Linked DNA regions of Stegostoma tigrinum. The protein of the gene in region 2 purifies or fractionates together with the protein of the main gene of each other region. This does not show direct contact. Links are inferred from orthologs where the notes say so. Each region holds a gene or a part of one and is shown on either strand. Other genes may lie near its edges.

The links.
Region 1: the proteins of nod2 (region 2) and ripk2 purify together in Homo sapiens (affinity purification with western blotting; 12 studies listed by BioGRID and IntAct, with this or other methods). This does not show direct contact. The link is inferred for Stegostoma tigrinum from reciprocal best matches to the Homo sapiens genes NOD2 and RIPK2.

The regions. Positions count from the first base shown.
Region 1 is NC_081358.1:87,299,835-87,310,444, forward strand, and holds the start of ripk2 (receptor-interacting serine/threonine-protein kinase 2), read left to right. Parts: upstream 1-5,721; 5' UTR 5,722-6,005; coding exon 6,006-6,196; intron 6,197-9,979; coding exon of another isoform or gene 9,980-10,028; intron 10,029-10,610.
Region 2 is NC_081369.1:27,096,144-27,107,301, reverse strand, and holds the start of nod2 (nucleotide-binding oligomerization domain-containing protein 2), read left to right. Parts: upstream 1-6,424; 5' UTR 6,425-6,916; intron 6,917-11,158. UniProt on the Homo sapiens protein: Pattern recognition receptor (PRR) that detects bacterial peptidoglycan fragments and other danger signals and plays an important role in gastrointestinal immunity.

The DNA of each region.
Region 1 (10,610 bases), on a different chromosome or scaffold from region 2:
AAGAATAAGAGAAAAAATGTTTGTGTGAGGAAATAAAATTAGATTTTCTTCCTACGTGTATATGGACTGAATGAGATAGGTATTAAAGCTGAAAATCAAACTAAAATTGGTTTCATAGAAGTTATTTATTTACAGCTTTTTTTTATATATTCAAGAGATTTCAACCAACAGTTCTCATAATTACCTTCCCTCAAACAATTATTTTATTTAAACACCAGGTTAAACACAAATATGAAACAAAATATTTACATTCATACAAAATTATTAAATTCCAAAAGATTACTTGGCAAAAAAATATTTTTATAATGAATTTTCTTTCATTTGCCATACTTTGTTCCCCTTTAGTTTAATAGTTTACAACTTTTATAATATAATTTTTACTATGTTATGTATTGCATTCTGTCATAATCATATGTTTTAGAGGTATAGCTTTTTAGTATTAGAAATTAAATTTTAAATGTAAATTTCACAGAGAAAACCCTGCTAAGTATCTAGAGGCTAGAAGGTCACAAAAGATTAATAGAATTACAATTCAAAAGATAATTTATGTTTACTGGATACAATCACAGTTAAAGCAGTGAAAGTAATAACAAAATGGGTAAGCTAATGTAGCGAAAATACTGGAGGCTTGCTATCTCCAATTATTCTATTGAATATATGCTATTTCCCAAAATTGAGGAAATCTTTGGAATTGAAAAGGTATTTACCATATCCACCCAGAACAAGGCTGTCTGTGTTTCAGAAGTAGGTGGAGCTTAGTGAGTTTCTTTGCTGTGAGTTATCTTAGGACTTAACCAGCAGGAAAGATGGGTTCACAAAATCAGTTCAGAGACTGCGTCAGCTTCAGCTTTTACATAGCTGCCTGGAATGTGAAAGCTAAAAGCAGACCTAAATCTGAAGTAAATGTTATGCCAAGGGTAAATCCTTCAAGCCAGCGTTTGCGTAAGCACACAGTTCTTTAGAGACAAAGATCCTTCATAAGCACGGTGTTACTTTGTGAAAACGCTCTTTGTAAGAGGTGTAGCCAGTCCAGACCAACTACCTGCCCAAGCAAGGTAGCCACATTGGCCGATGCCAACAAACTTGATCAGTGCATACAAGTGGGCTACATTCTGAGGGACACATTAAAGCCTGAGACAGCTGGCACCAAGGTAAAGTGGGGAAACACCACTGCTGAAGTTAGGAGTTTGTTCAGTTACAGGACCTTCCTAGTGTCTCAATGCATGTAAATATAATCCTGTATGTGTAAGAGATGCCTTTGGTTTATTGGGATAGAGTCAAACTCTCATCCCTGCCTCCTTGACCAAACACAACCTGTTTATCTCCTCTCCCACCAATCCACCCCACCCATCCCACAGACCAATCCCTACTACTCCTACCTGCACTCACCTATCATTATCCCGCCTACCTTCCCCAGCCCCATCCCTGTTCTCTCTATTTACTTCCCAGCTCCCTTCCCCCTCCCTGTTTCTGAAGAAGGGTCTGACCTGAAACGTCAACTCTCCTACTCTTCTGATGCTGCCTGGCCTGACGTGTTCCTCTAGCTCCACAGTGTTATCTCTGACTCCACCATCTGCAGTTCTTGCTGTCTCAAATGTTTGCAGGAACAAAAACAAAGTTGCTGGAAAAACTCAGCAGGTCTGGCAGCATCTGTGAAGGACAAATCTGAGTTAACGTCTCGGATCTCGTGACCCTTCCTCAGACCCTTCCTTGGATTACCGGACTCGAAACGATAACTCTGTTTTCTCTTCCACAGATGTTGCCAGACTTGCTGAGCTTTTCCAGCAACTTTGTTTTTGTTCCTGCTTTACAGCATCCACAGTTCGTTCAGTTTCAAATGTTGGCATGTTGACTTGATATGTTGCTGTCCAGAACTAAACTGCATTTATGACAATGTATACGTACAAAGAGATTTTTTGTGAATAAAGTATATTTTTGAAATTAAAAAAAATGCAAATGGGAGAGAAATCAAAAGGGTCCTGCACTCAAAAAGGGGTAGAACAAGTTCAAATAGAAGTGGATTAGATAGTATGGAGTATAGAATGAAACTTAAAGGGTGTCATTGTTTCGGGGCACTGGAATAGTCCTGTGGAATAGAGGAAGGAAAGTGGAATGCAGAGAAGGGATACAAGAAGGATGGGGGACAAGAAAGAGTGGGAGCAGTATAATTAAAGTGGGGAAGACAAGTGTGATTGGGTCCCCCATATCCTCACTTTTCATCCCAACATCCTCTGCATTCAAAGGATCATTCTCCATAATTTCAGACAATCCCAGAAAAATGCCACCACCAAACATATCTATCCCTCACTCCCGCTGTCTGCATTTCAGAGGGATCGTTCCCTTTAGAAAACCCGAGTCCATTCATTGACCACTGACACGATATCCCCTTCCCACGGCACCTTCCCCTGCAACCGCAGAAGGTGCAACACCTACCCTTTCACCTCCTCCCTGCTCACCATCCAAGGGCCGAAACAGTCTTTCCAGGTGAAGCAGCATTTCACCTGTACATCCTCCAATCTTGCCTATGCTACATTGGAGAAACCAAATACCCAGTGTGACTGCTTTGCCGGACACCTCAGATCTGAGTGCAAACATTATCTTAACCTTCCCATAGCTGGTTATTTTAACACAGCGTCCTACTCACATGCACACTTATCTGCAATATTCCAGTGAATCGCAGCGCAAACTGGAGGAACAACATCTTATCTTCAGACCACGCACTTTATAGGTTCCTGGACTTAAGATTGAGTTCAACACCCTCAAATTGTGAACCAACACCCATTCCTTCCCTTTCTTTTAGTTTACTTGTTACATTCTCTTGTCACCATGTCTTCTCTTCCCTCCCTCCACCTGGAGTTTCTGGGAGTTATCAGCTTGGTTTCAGTTTTAAACCATAGCAATAGGCTTTGGAAACCAAGAGCACAGTCTGATGCTTAAATCCAGTACCCCTAGGAGGCAGATGAAGACATGCGCAGAGCTGTGGAATCCAGAGCTGTGAAATGAAAAAAATTGGATAGCAGTTTAGCCAAAAGGACCCTTTGAAATGTTGTATCTCATCAAATAGCTGGAACACTGAAGTCAGAGTCACTGCTGGAAAGCGGTGAAATACATTTTTTCTGTTAATTCCAGGAATAAGGAATGAGCTTTAAAGGTAAATTGGGAGCAATTAGAATGTTCAGTAGCAATGAGTCTGGAGCACGAGTCTTTGTATGCTATCATCTTGTTAGTTATGATTGCTTTAACACTTCTTGATATACAGTAAATAATTGCTATTGTTTAAAAGCTGAAGGTTGTGGGAAGCGAGGGCAGTGATTGCTGGGTCCCTTGCTGAGAAACTTGTATCATTGATAGCCACAGCTGAGGTACCAGAAGACTGGAGGTTGACTAAAATTGTGCCATTATTAAAGAAAGGAGGTAAGGATAAGCCAGGGAATTGGTGAGCCTGATACCAGTGGTGGGCAGGTTCTCAGAGAGGATTCTTAGGGACAGGATTTACACCTATTTGGAAAGGTAAGGGCTGATTATGGATAGTCAACATGGTTTTGTGCGTGGGAACCATGACTCACTAACTCGATTATAGTTTTTTGAGAAAGAAAACGTGACTGAGGATTGATGAAGGCAGAGGAGTGCACGTTGTCTAAATGGAGTTCAGTAAGGCATTTAACAAGTTTAGATCACACGATAAAAACAGAAAGAACTGCCAATGCTGTAAATCAGCAACAAAAACAGAAGTTGCTGGAAAAGTTCAGCAGGTCTGGCAGCATTTGTGAACGGAAATCAGAATTAACGTTCCGGGTCGAGTGACCCATCCTAGAAAAATATTAATTGGCTTTAAAAAGCTGTACAACACCCGACAGCAATGCAAAATGGGATACAAATGTATTTTGGAGATAATAGGAACTGCAGACGCTGGAGAATCTGAGGTAACAAGGGGTAGAGCTGGATGTTTCTTTACAAGTGCTGCTGTCAGTGCAGTTTTTTTCCTTCGTTCACCTTCCTGGACCTCTCAGTCTCCATCTCAGGCAACCAGCTTGTAACTGATGTCCATTTCAAGCCCACCGACTCCCACAGCTACCTAGAATACATTTCCTCCCACCCACCCTCCTGCAAAAATTCCATCCCCTATTCCCAATTCCTCCGCCTCCGCCGCATCTGTTCCCACGACAAGACATTCCACTCCCGCACATCCCAGATGTCCAAGTTCTTCAAGGACCGCAACTTTCCACCCACAGTGGTTGAGAACACCCTTGACCGCGTCTCCCGCATTTCCCACAACACATCCCTCACCACCCGCCCCCGCCACAACCGCCCAAAGAGGATCCCCCTTGTTCTCACACACCACCCCACCAACCTCCGGATACAATGCATCATCCTCCGACACTTCCGCCATCTACAATCCGACCCCACCACCCAAGACATTTTTCCATCCCCACCCTTGTTTGCTTTCCGGAGAGACCACTCTCTCCGTGGCTCCCTTGTTCGCTCCACACTGCCCTCCAATCCCACCAACACCTGGCACCTTCCCCTGCAACCGCAGGAAGTGCTACACTTGCCCCCACACCTCCCCCCTCACCCCTATCCCAGGCCCCAAGATGACTTTCCATATTAAGCAGAAGTTCACCTGCACATCTGCCAATGTGGTATACTGTATCCATTGTACCCGGTGTGGCTTCCTCTACATTGGGGAAACCAAGCGGAGGCTTGGGGACCGCCTTGGAGAACACCTCCGCTCGGTTCGCAGTAAACAACTGCACCTCCCAGTCACGAACCATTTCAACTCCCCCTCCCATTCTTTAGATGACATGTCCATCATGGGCCTCCTGCAGTGCCACAATGATGCCACCCCAAGGTTGCAGGAACAGCAACTCATATTCCGCTTGGGAACCCTGCAGCCCAATGGTATCAATGTGGACTTTACCAGCTTCAAAATCTCCCCTTCCCCCACCGCATCCCAAAACCAGCCCAGTTCATCCCCTCCCCCCACCGCATCCCAAAACCAGTCCAACCTGTCTCTGCCTCCCTAACGTGTTCTTCCTCTCACCCATCCCTTCCTCCCACCCCAAGCCGCACCTCCATTTCCTACCTACTAACCTCATCCCACCTCCTTGACCTGTCCGTCTTCCCTGGACTGACCTATCCCCTCCCTACCTCCCCACCTATACTCTCCTCTCCACCTATCTTCTTTTCTCTCCATCTTCGGTCCGCCTCCCCCTCTCTCCCTATTTATTTCAGAACCCTCACCCCATCCCCCTCTCCGATGAAGGGTCTAGGCCCGAAACGTCAGCTTTTGTGCTCCTGAGATGCTGCTTGGCCTGCTGTATTCATCCAGCCTCACATTTTATTATCTCGGATTCTCCAGCATCTGCAGTTCCCATTATCTCTTCCTTCGTTAAGATTGGTTTCTCGTGGAACTAGGATAGTAATTACAAACGCAACCGATAATCGCTTTCAGTGAAATTGCACCGCGCATCTACGTCCTGTAGCCGGTATCCATCACTTATTCTTTGCGTAACTTTCTCAGATATATCTAGAGCAGAACAAGTTTTTCCATGACTGTCGGAACCTCAAGTTGCACAATTAGCATGAACACTGCGTAAACGTCTTTACTCGGTGGATTCTTTCAGAAATAAAGAGTTGAAGCGGCACTGACGATAGCCTATGTGTTTCCCGTAAAAGGCGTGGTTTCCAGCCGAGTTTAGGCTGCGCAGTGACTGATCATGAAGGGCGGAAGAGTCGTAAATTTGGGGAATTCCTGTGAGGAAGTGACAGACGGAACAGCTTTCTCTCTCTCTCTCTCTCTCTGCCGTGGTGTTTACACACCTTTTCGCTCCAGCACTGTGTGCGCGAGGTTGAGCTATGCGGGAGGGGGCGTTCTCCTGTGAAAATGTTTAGTTTCTTTTGGCGCTGACGCTGTTCTCCAGCAATGGGCAAACATCTGAGACTGCATTGAGACAGAGCTAGGGAGAAATAGAGAGCAATAAACAGCGCTGAGCGATTCAGCAGTTATGGAGTCTTCCAGGGGGAGCAGTTTCTCGAGTATTTCGTCCATCCTGGACGTGGTTCCCTATCAGAAGTTGGTGGATCTGCATTATATCAGCAAGGGAAGCTATGGCGTGGTGTTCAGAGCCCAGCACAGCGACTGGAGGATGACTGTGGCAGTCAAGTGTCTACAGTTCGACTCTCCAATGGATGAAGGGTATGCTATTGATGGTACTTGAGAGCATGGAGGAGAGTTATAATTACACGAGTTTGAAAATAGTTTGTATAATATCTTTACCAACACGTATTAACAAGGAAGCAGAGAAGTGTTGTGATGCACCTTTGTCCGAAGAACATAAAGTAGGGCTTGCATTACTGAAGGGGGCACAGGAGCTGAGAAATTTGCATTTCTATGTGCATTGGAGAAGGTAGGGCAGGTGGAGAGAGCAGTGAATAATAGGCTGTCTGCTGTGGGGTTGACGATTCACAACAACCAAACCTCATGCTGTACTGGTGCCTTGCCCTTCCTGCCTCTTCAGAGATAAGATTGACTATCTCAAGGTACCCTCTCCCTCGTCAGCCCTGGACCAGGAGAGGGCTTTGACAGGATATTGCATACGAATGTGTGGGATGTGCTGTCCAAATTGGACTTTGGGGAGGGAATCCACACTTGGATTGGACTGCTGTACATCAACATAAGTAAAACAGTCTCAATCGATGGGTTGAAGTCAGAAAGCTTCCTGATCAGATTGGAAGTCAGGCAGGGCTGCCCATTGTCTCCTGCCTTGTTTGTCTGTTGTATAGAGCCTTTTGCTAAATCCATCAGGAAGGATGTCAGCCTGGGAGTAGGGGGTACAAACATGATCATTTTCTATTCAGATCAGCTGTCAGCATGTAGACTTGTGAGCATCAGTGACCAGTTCGAACTAGCCTTGGGAGCCAAGGTAAATCGAGGCAAGAGTGAGGTTGTTTTCTTTCGAAACTTTATCCCCTTTGCCTTCATTTCAGGTTACCTGAAGGTGGTGGGAATGTGTTTGGAGGAGCTGGGGTGTGTGCAAAAACTTGAGAGGAGTGTAGCACCAAGGTGATGCAGAAACTAGGCAGATGTGAGCACCACTCCATATCCGTTACAGGTAAAATCTTGGGAATCAGGTGGGAGGCACTCATGGTGTTGTAGCATTTGGTGCAGATCTGGCCCATTTGCAGAACCTGCACCTCAGTGGGCACCCGAGCCATCTTCTATTTTTTTGGAGCTGAAAGTTGGATTGTGTCCACAGGGACACAATGTATAAACCTCTCTAAGGGGCACGAAATGGATGTACCCAACACTGCCCTCATCCTGATGACCACCTTTTGTGTGCAGCTGCATCAGGCCGTGCGTAGACCCTCGGTACGCAAACACCACATGTCGTTGTGTGCTGATGTTCGACCTGTGCCCAGTGTTACAAAGGCTGGGCCTGGCCTTGTTGCCATGGAATGTTCCACAGCGTCTGCGTTTCATGGCGAAAAACTTACAAAGAAAAACACCAATGACTACAAGCCCGTCAGAAAATGGTCAGCATTTAGCATCCTCGAGACTCAGCAGGAAAAGGAGGTGATCCTGTCGCATAGTTCCCTGAGTCGACTGTCAAAGTCATTTGACAGAATGCCTCATCGCCAGAACTTTCCAACAAGCCCCAATGTGGGAAGAAAGGCACTACCTGTGAGATTTTTTATGTGGGCTCTGACTCAGTGCCACTGCACACCACCCTGAGGGGTGGTTAAAGAGATGGAACAACATAGTCACTCCTATTCCTCTGGAGTGTACCCGTGCAAAGAAGATCTGGAGACAGATACAGTGATTTTTGTCAAGGTTCATCCCGAGCAGTTCCATGACACACAACTCTGTGTTCGTAGGTTATAGAATCCCTACAGTGTGGAAACAGGCCCTTCGGCCCAACGAGTCCACACCACCTCTCAGAGCATCCCAACCAGATCCATCCCTCATAATCCACCTAATCTATACATCCCTGAACACTACGGGCAATTTAGCATGGCCAAACCACCTAGACTGTACACCTTTGGAAGGAAACCAGAGCACCCGGGGGAGACCCGCACGTGGAGAATGTGCAAACTCCACACAGTCACCTGAGGGTGGAATCGAACCTGAGTTCCTAGCTGTGAGGCAGCAGTGCTAACCGCTGAGCCACTGTGGGTTCTGTGAGTTATTCTCCAGAACGCGCACTGAGACAAACGTCAAGTGTGCGTGGAGGAGCATCAACTCAGTGAAAGATGCTCTTTGGTCTTCCCAAAACTAGTTGATCTTCTAGTGTAAAGATTGGCTTGACAGAATGTTGCAGACCAGTGTGTGCCAAGCCCCAGATCTACGTGCTGAGGGACACACTCAAGTTTGGGCCAGCTTCTTCCAAGGCAGTGGGGAATCTCTACTGTCTGACATCTTTCTGCCAAATTATAATGATGGTCCATTCAGTGCCATAATAACCCTTTGTCAAAATTAGGTAAATAGTTTCCTATGTGTTTAGAAAAGGCTTTTGTTTTGCGACTGCAGGGAAGCTCTGAGGAATGTTAATTTCCAATGTAATGTTTGTTCCTTTTTCTTTGCAAAGACTGTATGGAACTGTTTTAGGACCCTTTGTACATACTTCTAGATTTTTTTTTAAGAATAAAGTATGGTATATTTAATAAAAGAAAATAGGGTAGAAGGCACATAGTGTACAAGAGCAGAGAGGTGATGTTGAACTTGTACAAGACACTTGTTAGATCTCAGCTGCAGTATTGTGAATAGTTGTGGGTGCCACATAATAGGAAAGATGTTTATGCATTAGAGAGTGTGTAGGGGCTATGTGATTAGAATGGTTTCAGGAATAAGAAATTTCAGCTATGGGGATAGATTGAAGATGCTGGTACTGTTGTTCTGGAGAGAAGCAAAATCATTGGCAAACTGGATAGAGTAGAAACAGTGAAGCTGTTTTATAAGAGAAACAAGAATGAGAGGAATGGTTTCAAGTGATGTGAAAGCGATGTGAGGAAAAGACATTTTCATACAGTGAATAGTTACGGTATGGAATGCATTGTTTGGAAGCATGGAGGAGGCAGGTACAATTGGGGAATTCATGAGGGTATTAGATGGATCTTTTGGGCCATAATTTTGTGCAGGGATATGGGGAGGAGATAGGAGATTGCAACTGGCAAGTTGGCAACAGCATAAGTCGCTCCATTTGGAGCTCCACTCTACTCGCCAGTTCTCTTTCCTTTTCCTTTCTTTTTCTCTTCTCTCTCCTCTCTGCTATAATTCTAGCCCCTGAGACTCTGCACTTTAAACCACCAACCTGAGGAGTCGGATCGCAACTGGGAATGCTCAGGTCATGTCCTGCAGCGATGGCTGGCCAAGAATGGGCTGGTTTGGCGGTGAAGTTGTAGGCGGCGGTGAGAGTGGGGCTGGTGAGAGGAAAGCAGTCGGGGTGCCCTAGCGATTGGACCGGTGCCTGCATCATTGTGGAGATGGGACTCTGAGATCTGGACTTCTTCACTTACTTACCTTTTTATTTTTGTTAAAATCTTTTAATTCTGGTTTCTGTAACCAAATGGGTGCTGGTGAATGGCATCTTTGTACACTTTTTGCTGTAATTATGTATTCCTACATTTAGGGCATGTGACAAACGAATAAATAAAACTGAATGTTGGTAGTAGAGTTGGTACAGGCTGACCTACCTCCTTCTGCAATAGGATTCTGTGAATTGTTTGAAATATGATGTGAATTTATGCGAACGTTGATTTTTTTTTTAACGTGTGTTTTGTGATGCATGAGACATTGTGGAATGAGTAGTTGGTCAAGCATTGAAAGCATACAATTTGTAAGATGCCACATCGATTCCATGTGAAATCGCCACCGATTATTATTTATGCTTTCACAGGATGTGTATGTCACTGGCTAGGCCAATATGTGTCACTCATTCATTCTTAATTGTCATTAAACTGAATGAGTGTTTGACTATTTCAGAGGTCAGTAAGATTGCTGAGGATCTGGATTCAAATATAAGAATGACCAGGTGAGAATAGTTGATTTCCTTGCCTCATGAAAATTTACGAACCAATTGGATTTTAAAACAATTGTTGATAATTCTCATGCCCACCATTACTGAGACTAGCTTTGAATATTGCAAACTTATGAACTGAATTTGAAGTTTCATCAGCTGCCATTGTAGAATTTGAAGCCTGAATCTCTGGATTACTAACCCATATTCCTTTTTGAGTCATTCGTGGCCAACTGTTGAAGTTATAACTTTGTGCATTCAATATTTTGCTACATCTGCAGCAATTAACATCAAGAGTTTGAAAAATCAATTGATTTGAAATTGGAGCCAAAGATATTTGTGATCAGTGTTTGGAGATCACAATTTTGCGCAAGATAGTGCACTAATCAGTTTGTTTGTGCCATAATTCAAAGCTAATTGAAAGTTTTTTTTTCAGATTTCTCTTAAAGATTAGGAAAATGCACTTTTTTCTTAAACTGTTAGCTTGTTTTCTAACTTGCCATTAATGTTTCTGACCAGTCTGGAGTAGCAAATGTTTTGTCTTCATTATGAAGCTTTTTTTAAGTTCAGGGAGGCTATTTACTGGGAATCACTGGG
Region 2 (11,158 bases):
GGATGCAATGTCTGAGGGTGTGGTGGATTTAGCTATAGATGTTACCTTTGGAAGAAAATTGTTTGGTTATCTGGGGCGGGGGGGGGGGGGGGGTGGTGGAATACAAAGTGCAATAATTTAGGAAACCCAACTGTTTAACACCAGAATAGAGCAGTGGCTCAGCCTGTTTGTTTTCTGTTATATCCAGGAGTACTGTGACACTCAATTAAACAATTTCCCACCACCAAATCACGGTCGTTGTTTTTATATAAACTAATAGCCACCACCTGTAATCACCCATGTAGGCTGGGTCTGCTTTTATTCTACTTTTTTGAGTTTTTTTGTTTGTCTTTCTAATATCTTTTCTATTTATCCACACATCTGAATGAATTTCCTACCATCAGATCACCGTAGTTTTTTTTTATTTTGGATCCTTTTAAAACTGTTAACCACCACCAGTAAAATCACTTGTGTAGCCAATTAAATATTTAAAAGCAAGGCCTATTATGGGCAATGCGAGTCATTAAAATAAAAGGGGAGTAGGGAGAGATAGAAGGGGCTGGGTCTGGTTTTGTAAATAATTTAGAGCTGGGCTGGCCTAGCCTATGTCTAATATCAAGGGAACTCATACTGACTGAGCTCCCTAAGTAGTTTAATTAGTGATTCCCTATGGGCCTGAAGGGAGTTACCCGCAGAGCTGCCAGGGAGTGGCACTTTTAAAATGCTCTCACAAACAGCTGACATAGATACAATGGTCTGAATAGCCTCCTGACATGCTGTAAATATTTTATGATGTTGTAATATTACATATTGAGAGAGAAAATCCAGAGGCTGTTTATTACATTAGCATATTCAAGTGACATGATAGTCAGTTTGATGAAAGTCCAGCACCACAGGTGATGCTAAAGAAAAAAAAAGTTTTTGAAATGATCTTTTGAGATTTTAATGTTCTCCATTTAAATGCTCAACATCTTCATCCTTTGGAACCCCTTGATGTGAAACACACTGTAGATTCACAGATTTTTAAGATTCATTTACAGTGAATAAATGGTCAATATTTTACACAATAATCAAATCTGTTCTGGAATCAACAAATCCCCATGGTGCAAGTAGAGGCTATTTGGCCCATCAAATCTGCACAGACCCTCCAAACATGACCCCCATGCTCCAACCCTATCCCTGAACTTGCATTTACCACAGCTAACACACCTAGCCTGTAAAACTGTGGATGTGATGGGGCAATTTTGCATGGCCAGTCCTCCTAATACATCTGCATTTTGATGATGGGAAGAAACTGGACAACTGGAGGAAACCCATGCAGAGACAAGGAGAACTTCGCACAGACAGTCACCCAAGGCAGGAATCAAACCTGGATTTTAGAGGGTGTTTAGTGACGGCAGGTGGTTCCACAGTGCGTAGCCATTACTGCCAGAGGGTCCCCACTGTGGGCCAGGAAATTGACCCTCCCCTGGAGCCTACTGCGAGGCTGCTGGCTTTCACTGGATGGTCAACCCAAGTGATGGCAGCTCCTTAGCAGCTAAATTGGTCTCTCACTGAGTAGCCTGTCTGCCAGCTTTCTAGGCAAAATGGCATTGTGGAGAGCAGGTGACAGGCACCCCTCTCCTTACATATTCCAGCATCATCTTCCAGTCATCCTGTGTCCCAACCTGTTGTCAAGATAACATTCTTTGGCTTTAAAATCGTAAAGTAGCTGTTTAGTCTACTATGTTCACACTGTTGGCTTTTTACCGAATGAGTTCAAGTCAGTTTCTAGATCAGCAACAACAGGTAGCAAAGGCAAGGGCAATTGTGAAGAATCTGTGTTACAGGGTGCAGCCCTCTCCAAGTCCTGTTTAGCTGGATTCATATGCTTCAGTCAGCGGATCGCATGGAGACAACTGGTGGTGAGTTTAACCTAAGAGTCATTATGCCTCAGGCAAGGGACAGGGTTGAAAAGGCAGGGTTTTCATGATGGGCTCAGCCAATACAAGAACTGAACCCATTCTGTTGGCATCACTCTGAATTACAAATGAGTCATCCAGCCAATTGAGTGAAACGATCCAAGACATCAATCCACCGAACATACATAAAAAAGACTTTATTTGGACTTTTAAAACTATTTAATTTGTCCTGCCTCTTTGTAACTTCATTGTGTTGGTGAGTGTAAACACTTGAATGCATGGTTTCGATTTTCATCCCCAGGGGAATGGCGCAGAGTTGCATGAAATCCTGGCTACATCAATGTGATGTTGATATATGGTGAAGATAGAGTCAGGCCAGGAGACCCGGTAAGAGCTGAAGAACTTGCCCAGTTCTTGAGATAGGCCAATAAATGAGGCCATTTAGGGGAGGCGATGGCCGAAGTGGTATTATTACTGGACTGTTAATTCAAAGACCCAGATAATGTTCTGGGGACCTGGGTTTGAATCCTACCACAGCAGATAGTGGAATTTGAATTCAATAAGTATCTGGAATTAAGAATCTAATGATGACTGTCGACTGTCAGGAAAAACCCATCTGGTTCACTAATGCCCTTTTGGGAAGGGAGCTGCCACCCTTGCCTGGTCTGGCCTACATGTGACTCCCGACCCACAGCAATGTGGTTGACTCTTAACAATTAGGAATGGGCATAAATGCTGCCTAGCCAGCTGCACCCTCATCCTGTGAATGAATAAAGAAAAAAAGTATCGATAGACGGAAAAAAAAACTAAAGGACCAAACACGCTGCTGGACATGCAGTATACATCCCTAATCAGGGAGAGAAAGAGGATCAAATACGCAATCAAATTTCAGAGAAGTGTATGATTAATATGGCCTTAAGAGTAGGGCATTTCAATTATCCAAATATTAACTAAGGTAATGTGCAAAGTAGAGAGGGAGAATAATTCTTAAATTGCACACAGGAGAACTTTTAAACCAGTACGTTGGAAATTCAACAAGGGAAAGGACTGTTCTGACTTGATATTTAGAAAGGAGCTTGGGCAGACAGAAGTCTTGTCAATGGGGAATATTTTGAAGAGAATGATCATAACTCAGTCAGATTTAAGATAGTTACAAAAAACAAGTTTGAGGAATCAGTTAAAGTTCTAAACCAGAAAACGGTTATTTTGCTGTACTATTTGGTAGCCAAATGCAATGGGAGCAGTTCGTTTTAGATAAAACTGTGTCAGATCGGTGGGAGGCATTCAAGGACGAATTGGTAGCAGTACAGGGCAAATACGTTCCTATAAAGATAAAGCAAAACTTTTCATAATGCCTCTCAATGTCAATCTACAGCAGGTGGACTGTTGTGGTTCAAAAAGGCGGCTCACTATCACCCTCTCAAGGGCAACTAAGGATGGACAATAAATACTGGCCAGCCAGCAACAATCCACATCTCAAAAATGAATAAAAATATTTCAGAGTCAAACATGAAATGATTGTAACATGTTTCAGCCAAATGAATCTCAAAGAATATGAATTCTCTGACTGGGGCTGTTAATCTGGTCCAACCAGGAAGCCTTGCCTGACAGGTACAAACAGAAGTGTGAGACGCTGCTTGGCCTGCTGTGTTCATCCAGCTTCACACTTTATTATCTCGGATTCTCCAGCATCTGCAGTTCCCATTATCACTGTTAGAGGTTCTGTGCACTCTGAGAGTTGACTCTGGGAAGCCAGACCAGTGTCAAGAACTATGCACATGTTAACAACGAGTAACTTGGTGATGGAATACTGGTATCCAAAGCAGCTTATTTAAAATATAAATAAATCTTGAGACTTAATTTACAGTCATTATTAACTAGTACATTCTCCATGACAACACCTCTATCAAATAGAGTCCATTTTGCCAACCAATTAGCATTCTCGTTTTGAATGATGTTTTCTATTTAATCTGGTACATTGTGCAAACTGTCTTGATGAGTGCAAAAAGAAAAGCTTCCACAAAATATGTCTTCTTTCAACAATATGTTTCAGGTAATAAACAAAGTTAAGAACAAAGAACAATACAACACAGCAATAGGCCCTTCGGCCCGCCAAACCTGCACCAACACATTTTCCCTGCCATATAAAACTGTCTTCTCTTACAGGATCCAATATCCCTTTCTCCCTTTCCTTTTCATATATTTGTCCAGGTGACTCTTGAATGCTGCTATTGTGTCTGCTTCCACCAGATCCTCTGGCAGAGCATTTCAGGCATTAATCACTCTTTTTGTGAAAAACTAGCCTTGCACATCTCCTTTAAACTCCCCTTCACCCTATGTCCCAACACTTTGAACCTGGGTCCCCTAGTAATTAACCCCTCCACCCTGGGAAACAGCATCATACCTATCCACCCTATCCATGAAGGTTGGGACCCTTCTTCAGAAAAGTGACATTTGTGTGACTTTTGAATGTTAATGGGATGCTCTCCTGCTTGCTGAACCATACTTGATAAAATAACCAGAATGAGAGGACAATGTTGATAAGGTGAGTGCCAAGCTGCCAAAAATAGTAATCTGAGAATGTTCACATTTGTATCAGTTTTGCTTTATGGTTTTATGAAAGTTTGTTCCTCATGCCAATTACTGAAGGCGTTTACTTAGGGAAATGTTTGTTACCAAGGTCATGCCCAAAGCATTCTGTGGTCACAAAGTGCTCATTGCTCAATCTTGCCTCAGCTTCTCCATATTTCCATCTATCTTCCCACTTTTAGCCGCTCCAACTTTGCTATTCAAAATCTCTTTTGTTTAGTCTGCATCCATCTTAGTCTAAGGTGGGCAGCACAGGAATTTTCTGAGGATATTCCACTGCAAAACAGATATACTGCTTTGAATGCTGTTGGGGGATTGACCTCTCAGGGTAAACCAGCAACAGCCAAATTTATTGCAGCACAGTTGTTTCTGCTGCACAGGAAAGGAGGAGAAAGTGTGGGAATGCAATAATTGTAGGGATTGAATTGTAAGAGGAATAAACATGTGTTTCTGTGGCAGAAAACGAGACTCCAGGATGGTACGTTGCTTCCCTAGTACCAAGATCAAGAATGTCTCAATACAGCTAGAGGACATTCTGGAGGGTGAGGGTAAACATCCAGTGGTCATGGTACAAATTGTGTCAGTGACATAGGTTATGAAAGGGGTGAGGTCTTAAAAGCTGAGCTGGGCCAAAAGACCGCAAAGTGGCAGATGGAGTTTAATTTACATAAATGTGAGGTGTAGCATTTTGGTAAGACTAACAAGGGCAGGACTTATAGAGTTAATGATAAGGCGCTGAGAGTATTGTCAAATAGAGAGGCCAAGGGATTCAGTTACATGGTTCCTTGAAAGTAGTGACACAGTTAGGCCGGGTGGCGAAGAGGGTGAAAGGCACACTAGCTTTCATCGTTCAGAGTAGTGAGTTGGGACATTATGGTAAGGCTGTAAGGATGTTGGTGCTCACTATTGGAGTACTGTGTACAGTTCTGGTCATCCTGCTATAGGAATGATATTATTAAATTGGAGACGGTTTAGAAAGCATTTACCAGGATGTTGCTGGGACCGGAGGCTGGGACCTGGAGATGGATAGGCTGGGACTTTTTCCCTGGACATTCAGAGGTTGAGGGGTGACCATAGAGAAGTTAATCCATTCATGAAGGGCATAGATAAGGTGAATAGCCAAGGTCTTTTTTCCTAGGGTAGGGGAGTTCAGAACCAGAGGGCATAGGTTTAAGGTGAGAGGAGAAAGATTGAAAAGGGACCTGAGGGGCAATTTTTTCACACAGAGGGTAGTCTGTGGAATGATCTGCCAGAGGAAGTGGTAGATGCAGGTACAGTTACAACATCTAAAAGACATTTAGACAGGTACATGGATAAGAAATGTTTAGAGGGATATGGGTCAAATGCAGGCAAACTAGTTTAGTTTGGGAAACCTGGTCGGCATGGATGAGTTAGACCGAAGGGTCTGTTTCCGCGCTGTGTGACTGTATAACTCGGAATCCTGTGAACTGGCCAGCTTGTCTGACCTCTGCAGCCCTCCTTGGGTTACCATACCACAATGCGTTCTGAGTAGAGCAGTTGTTTGGGAGTTTGGCATTAGGTTATGAAGGACATGGACTGTCCAGTCAAGCTGGTTTGGAATAATTAGTACCTCAATTCTGGGCCTGTTGGCTTGGGAGAGCATGCTGCTGTGGAACCACCTATGTTGCCACGGGATTTGAAAGATCCTGCAAAAGCATCTCTGGTGGTTCAATTCTGGTGCTTTGAAATGTCGGGGAGTGCCAGAATAGGAGTATTTCTCCATGCAGTAAAAGCTAAGCTACCATGTCCTATTCATTCATGCTCAGTTTTTCTTGCATGCCTACCTATTGCCAGCTTATATATTACAAAAATACTGTAAATCCTGCAGCTGGATACAAAAATCGAAACTCCTCAGAGCAAGTAATCAGTTCCAAAAATCTGCTTCCCCTGCCGGAAGTGTTGACTTGTCTTTTCTGCACAACGACAGACTGACGCCCTTCGGGTTATCTGATGTCAGCTTCCTCTTTCACAACTAATATAGGCCAGAAACTGGAGAGAGAGAGAGAAAGGGCAGTTTCTGAATTCTGACACGATGTTGACGGTCTTAGAATGATCTTAAGGAATGACTCAGCCTCCCTCTGACCTGAACGCCTTGTGAAACACCACTAGCCTTGCCTATTGAAACGTCGGGATGTTTTAGAACGGGTGGAAGTACCTCTCCGCGCCAGAAGGAAGTGGAGACGGAGATCATTATCTGATGTTGTTAATTGTGTTTCTGGGCCAGCAGCCACTGAGCATTGAGCCTCCCGCACCAGTTCGGAAAGGGTGCAGCTCTCAGACTGCCCCCGGCATCTACACCACAAGGGAAGTTCATTTGTGAGTTTACGAAGCCGCCGTGTGCAACTGGGAACAGCACAGAAAAGTAGAACCTCACATTCCACGAGCCTTGTTGTGGAATTTGAGATGTGATGAGAACATTGCTTAAGGTACCCCTAAGGTTCCACTGTACTCATTTATTACATGCCGTTATGAAAACTTCCTGCGTTGCTATTGACGGGGATGTGAAACTTTCAAAAACGTGCTAGCGATACCATACACAAAGTCAGAAGTACACCTGGAGTTATCTACCTGTAAAATCCTGTCACTGCTCAGCGCTGCTCTGCTCTTTGAAGGAAAGAGCCTTTTTGTAATGTTTTTGATGCTGGGTTCGGATTAGACGAATAAAACCGAAACTACTCTTTGCTGGGTAGCTCAGCGTGATGGCCCTCCGGAGGATTTAACATACGCAGAAAAAAATGTTTATTATGTTTATTTAGGGTTGTTTCGAAATAGCATTTTTAATATCAAAAATATACTTTATTGATTAAAAAATCTTTATATACATACATAGTGAAGCTGTTCGCTTCTGTGCAGTGGCATATCGAGAAACAAGCGGACAGTGATTTGTTTGATTCTATCCAGCAAACAAACCAAAGGCATTTCTTGCCTATACCAGATTATATTTACATACAGCAATTTCCAGCTTCATGGCAGCTCAATCTGTCTAGAACTCTGAAGATGAGGTTGTAGGTGAAAGTAAACTGAGCCTCACCCTGTTTAATTTGAGGGGTGAAAGTATGCCATCTTTAATCGAAACTAAATCGAGTTTGCATGCGTTCATTTTGTAAACTGGGGCAAAGAATCTAGCTGGTAGGGAGCGAATGACTATCTTTTTATTAAAGAAAGACATACGCGATGCATTTATGACCCACCCCTTATTGCCGTTGAGAGCAGTGTACAGGCACCTTGAACGGTTGTAGCCAGCCCGCGATGCTGTTGGAAAAGACATTCCAATGTATTGATTCAGTGACTGAAGCAGTGGTCGCTCCAAATCAAAATGTTGCGTGGCTTGGGAGCAAAATGCAATCATTGTGTATGTAGTGTAGTATGGAAACATTGGGCTTAGGAACCAAATGTTCTGCTACTGTTCCTAAGTGAGTTTTGAGAAGTTGATGATGTTACCTAGAATGGTGACGAAACGTCTGAAAACGAACGTTCCAGCTCAGCGAGCAAACTCACATCCAGAACTGTTTCTAAGTCCAATACTACACTGTATACACTATACTATACTACAGTAAAATGCTTTGGGATGTGCCGTATTTGTGAAAGGTTTGTATAAATGTGAGGTTTTTTTTGAATTGGGCATCTCATTAGTTGTTTAGGTATAATACAGCTGGAGCTGCAGGAGCACAGCAGGCCAGGCAGCATCAGAGGAATAGCAAAGCAGACATGGGACCCTTCAGAAATAGGGAGAGGTCAGGGAGCTCAGAAATAAGTAGAGGGGTGGGGCTGGGGAATGTAGGTGGCATGGTGATAGGTGAGTGCAGGTAGGCAATGGTGGGGATTGGTCAGTGAGGTAGAAGGGGTGGATAGGTGGGAGAGAAGATGGACAGGTTGTGTCAGGTCAAGGAGGTAGGGGTGAGAAGGACGGTTAGTCATGGGATGAGGAGATTTTGAAACTGGTAAAGTCCACATTGAGACCATTGGGCTGTAGGCTCCCAAGGTGGAATATGAGGTGCTGCTTTTCTAGTTTCCGCGTGGCGTCATTGTGACACGGGAGGACGCCCAGGATGGACATGACACACAGGGAATGGAAGAGGGAGTTGAAGTGGTTCGCGACTGAAAAGTGTTGTCATTTGTTGCGAACAGAGCGCTGGTGCTCTACAAAGCAGTCTCCGAGCCTCTGCTTGGTCTCACCGATGTAGAGGAGGCCACATTGGGTGCAGCAGATGCAATAGACCACATTGACAGATGTGTGTGTGAACCTCTGTCTGATGTGAAAGGTTTGTTTGATTGACCTTGATGTTGACCTGCTCCTCCCACCTCACTGACCAATCCCCACCACTCCCAACCTGCACTCACCTATCACCGTCCCACCTACCTTCCCCAGCCCCACCCCTCCTCTCTCTATTTATTTCTGAGATCCCTTTCCCATCCCCCATGTCTGAAGGAGGGCCCCAACCCAAAACATCAACTATCCTGCTCTTTGGATGCTTCCTGGCCTGCTGTGTTCCTTCAGCTCCACACTGTTATCTCTGACTCCAGTATTGGCAGTTCTTACTATCTCTGAGTTGTTTAGGTATATCTCGTTTTGGATTTTATCCGCATCCCATGAAATTAAATGCTTTCAGTTAACCTTTTTAATATATAACTGTGCTCCAATGCTTGGTCATCTCACTGATCCAATTTTGACCAGCATTAAAGAAGAAGAATAGGGAACAATAGATGAATGAAGATTGTGAAGCTCTGGTCAAGAATAAGGTATAGACCATTGGATTAAGTGAATCTCTTGAAGAGCATAAGGGATAGATTCACTGCCACCAATTGTTCTCATTTACTAATATCAATGGAGAAGGATACCCACACACAGTCTTTGACAGAAGGGAAGCAGTACCCGACCTCAGTAATGGATACTGCTGGGACTGGAGGCAGATGAATGAGGAAGACAGCCATGGACTCTGGAGTGAGGTAAATCAGTATGGGTTGGGATATTCAACAAACCAAGTGCCTACAGGCTTTCATGGACTATGAAAAACTATCTGACAGCATATACAGAGAGGTTGTTAACCCCAGGCCAGGAAATCTCAGACAGCTGTTAAGTTTCAGGCTAAGGGCGCGACCATTTAAGACTGAATGGAAAGAATTTCTTTATTGATAAGGTGGCATTTCTTTGGAATTTGCTACTAGGGATGATGTGAAGGCATCATCTTTGATTATATTTAAGACTGAGATGACGACAGTGTTTGGTTTTTCAGGGAACAGTGAGTAGAAGGGAAGTCTAATTGCAGCCCAAGACCTACTGTTGCAGAGGAGGCTTGATGGACTGTATTGCCTTCTCTTGTTCCTAATTCTTATGGTCTTAACTAACAAGAAATTATGCTGACACTGGCTGTCATGGGAAAATTACAATTATCTGGAAGCAGGAAACCTCACTATCTTTATTCAAAAACGATTTGAGATATGGAAATAACATCAGGGTGTGCACATGCCTACTTGTGTGGTGACAGTGAGTAACCTAGAAGATAATTGTTAGTATAGAATCAGTGCAGCATGTGCAGCAAGACGCCACTCAGTCCATTAAGTCTACATCGACCCTCTGAAGAGCACCCCACTATCCATGCACTGCCATGCCAATTCTCCTCATGCCTGTTTGGTTTCCTCTGGGTGCTCCAGTTTCTTCCCACAATTCAAAGATGTGCAGATTAGGTGAATTGGCCATGCTAAAATTCCTGTAGTGTCTAGGGATGTGCAGACTAGATGAATTAGCTAAGGTATTTGCAGGGTCACAGGGATATGGTGGTGGAGAGGGGTGGTGTGTGTAGGATGCTCCTTGGATGGTTGGTGAAACTTGATGGGCTCGCTATGGTTTTCTCTTCATTTGTTTACCAGGTGAAAAGGCTGGGCAGCACGGTGGTTTAATGGTTAGTACTGCTGCCTTGCAGTGCCAGGGAACCAGGTTTGATTCCATCCTCTGGTGACTGTCTGTATGGAGTTTGCACATTCTGTGTTTGGGTGGGTTTCTGCCTGATGCTCCGGTTTCCTCCCACTGTCCAAAAATGTGCAGGCTAGGTGGATTGGCCATGCTAAATTGCCCATAGTGTAGATTAGGTGTGTTAGCTATGGGAGATGCAGGATTACAAGGAAAGGGTAGGGGGATGGGTCTGGGTGGCATGCACTTTGGAGGGTTGGTGTGGACTTGTTAGCCTAAATAGTTCACCCTTCTTGTTTTCTTTGTAATAATAAGATTTTTATGGTTTTGCACATTTTTGCATTTCACTGAGTAAATTTAGTGGAAAGTTGATTTAATTAAGTAAAAGCTTATTGCAGTTGAAGACTTTAGTATTTTTGAAATTATGAAATTATGTGGTCACAATAACACGCAGATCTTTAGGGAGCATTTCATCACTTACTTCCCACTTTGTTGCTTGCATTCATATCCTCCCTCTTACTGAAAAGTGTACTTTGCAAATGAAAGGACTATTTTCCATTTAGTAATATGAGCACTGAGTTAAGGCATACATTTGTTTGAATTTTTATTGTGAAATAGCATAGAGTGTTAGAGTCATACAGCACACAGCAGGCCAAGCAGCGTCAGAGGAGCAGGAAAGTTTGACATTTCGGAAGAAGGGTCCCAACCCGAAACGTCGAGCTTTCTTGCTCCTCTGATGCTGCTTGGCCTGCTGTGTTCA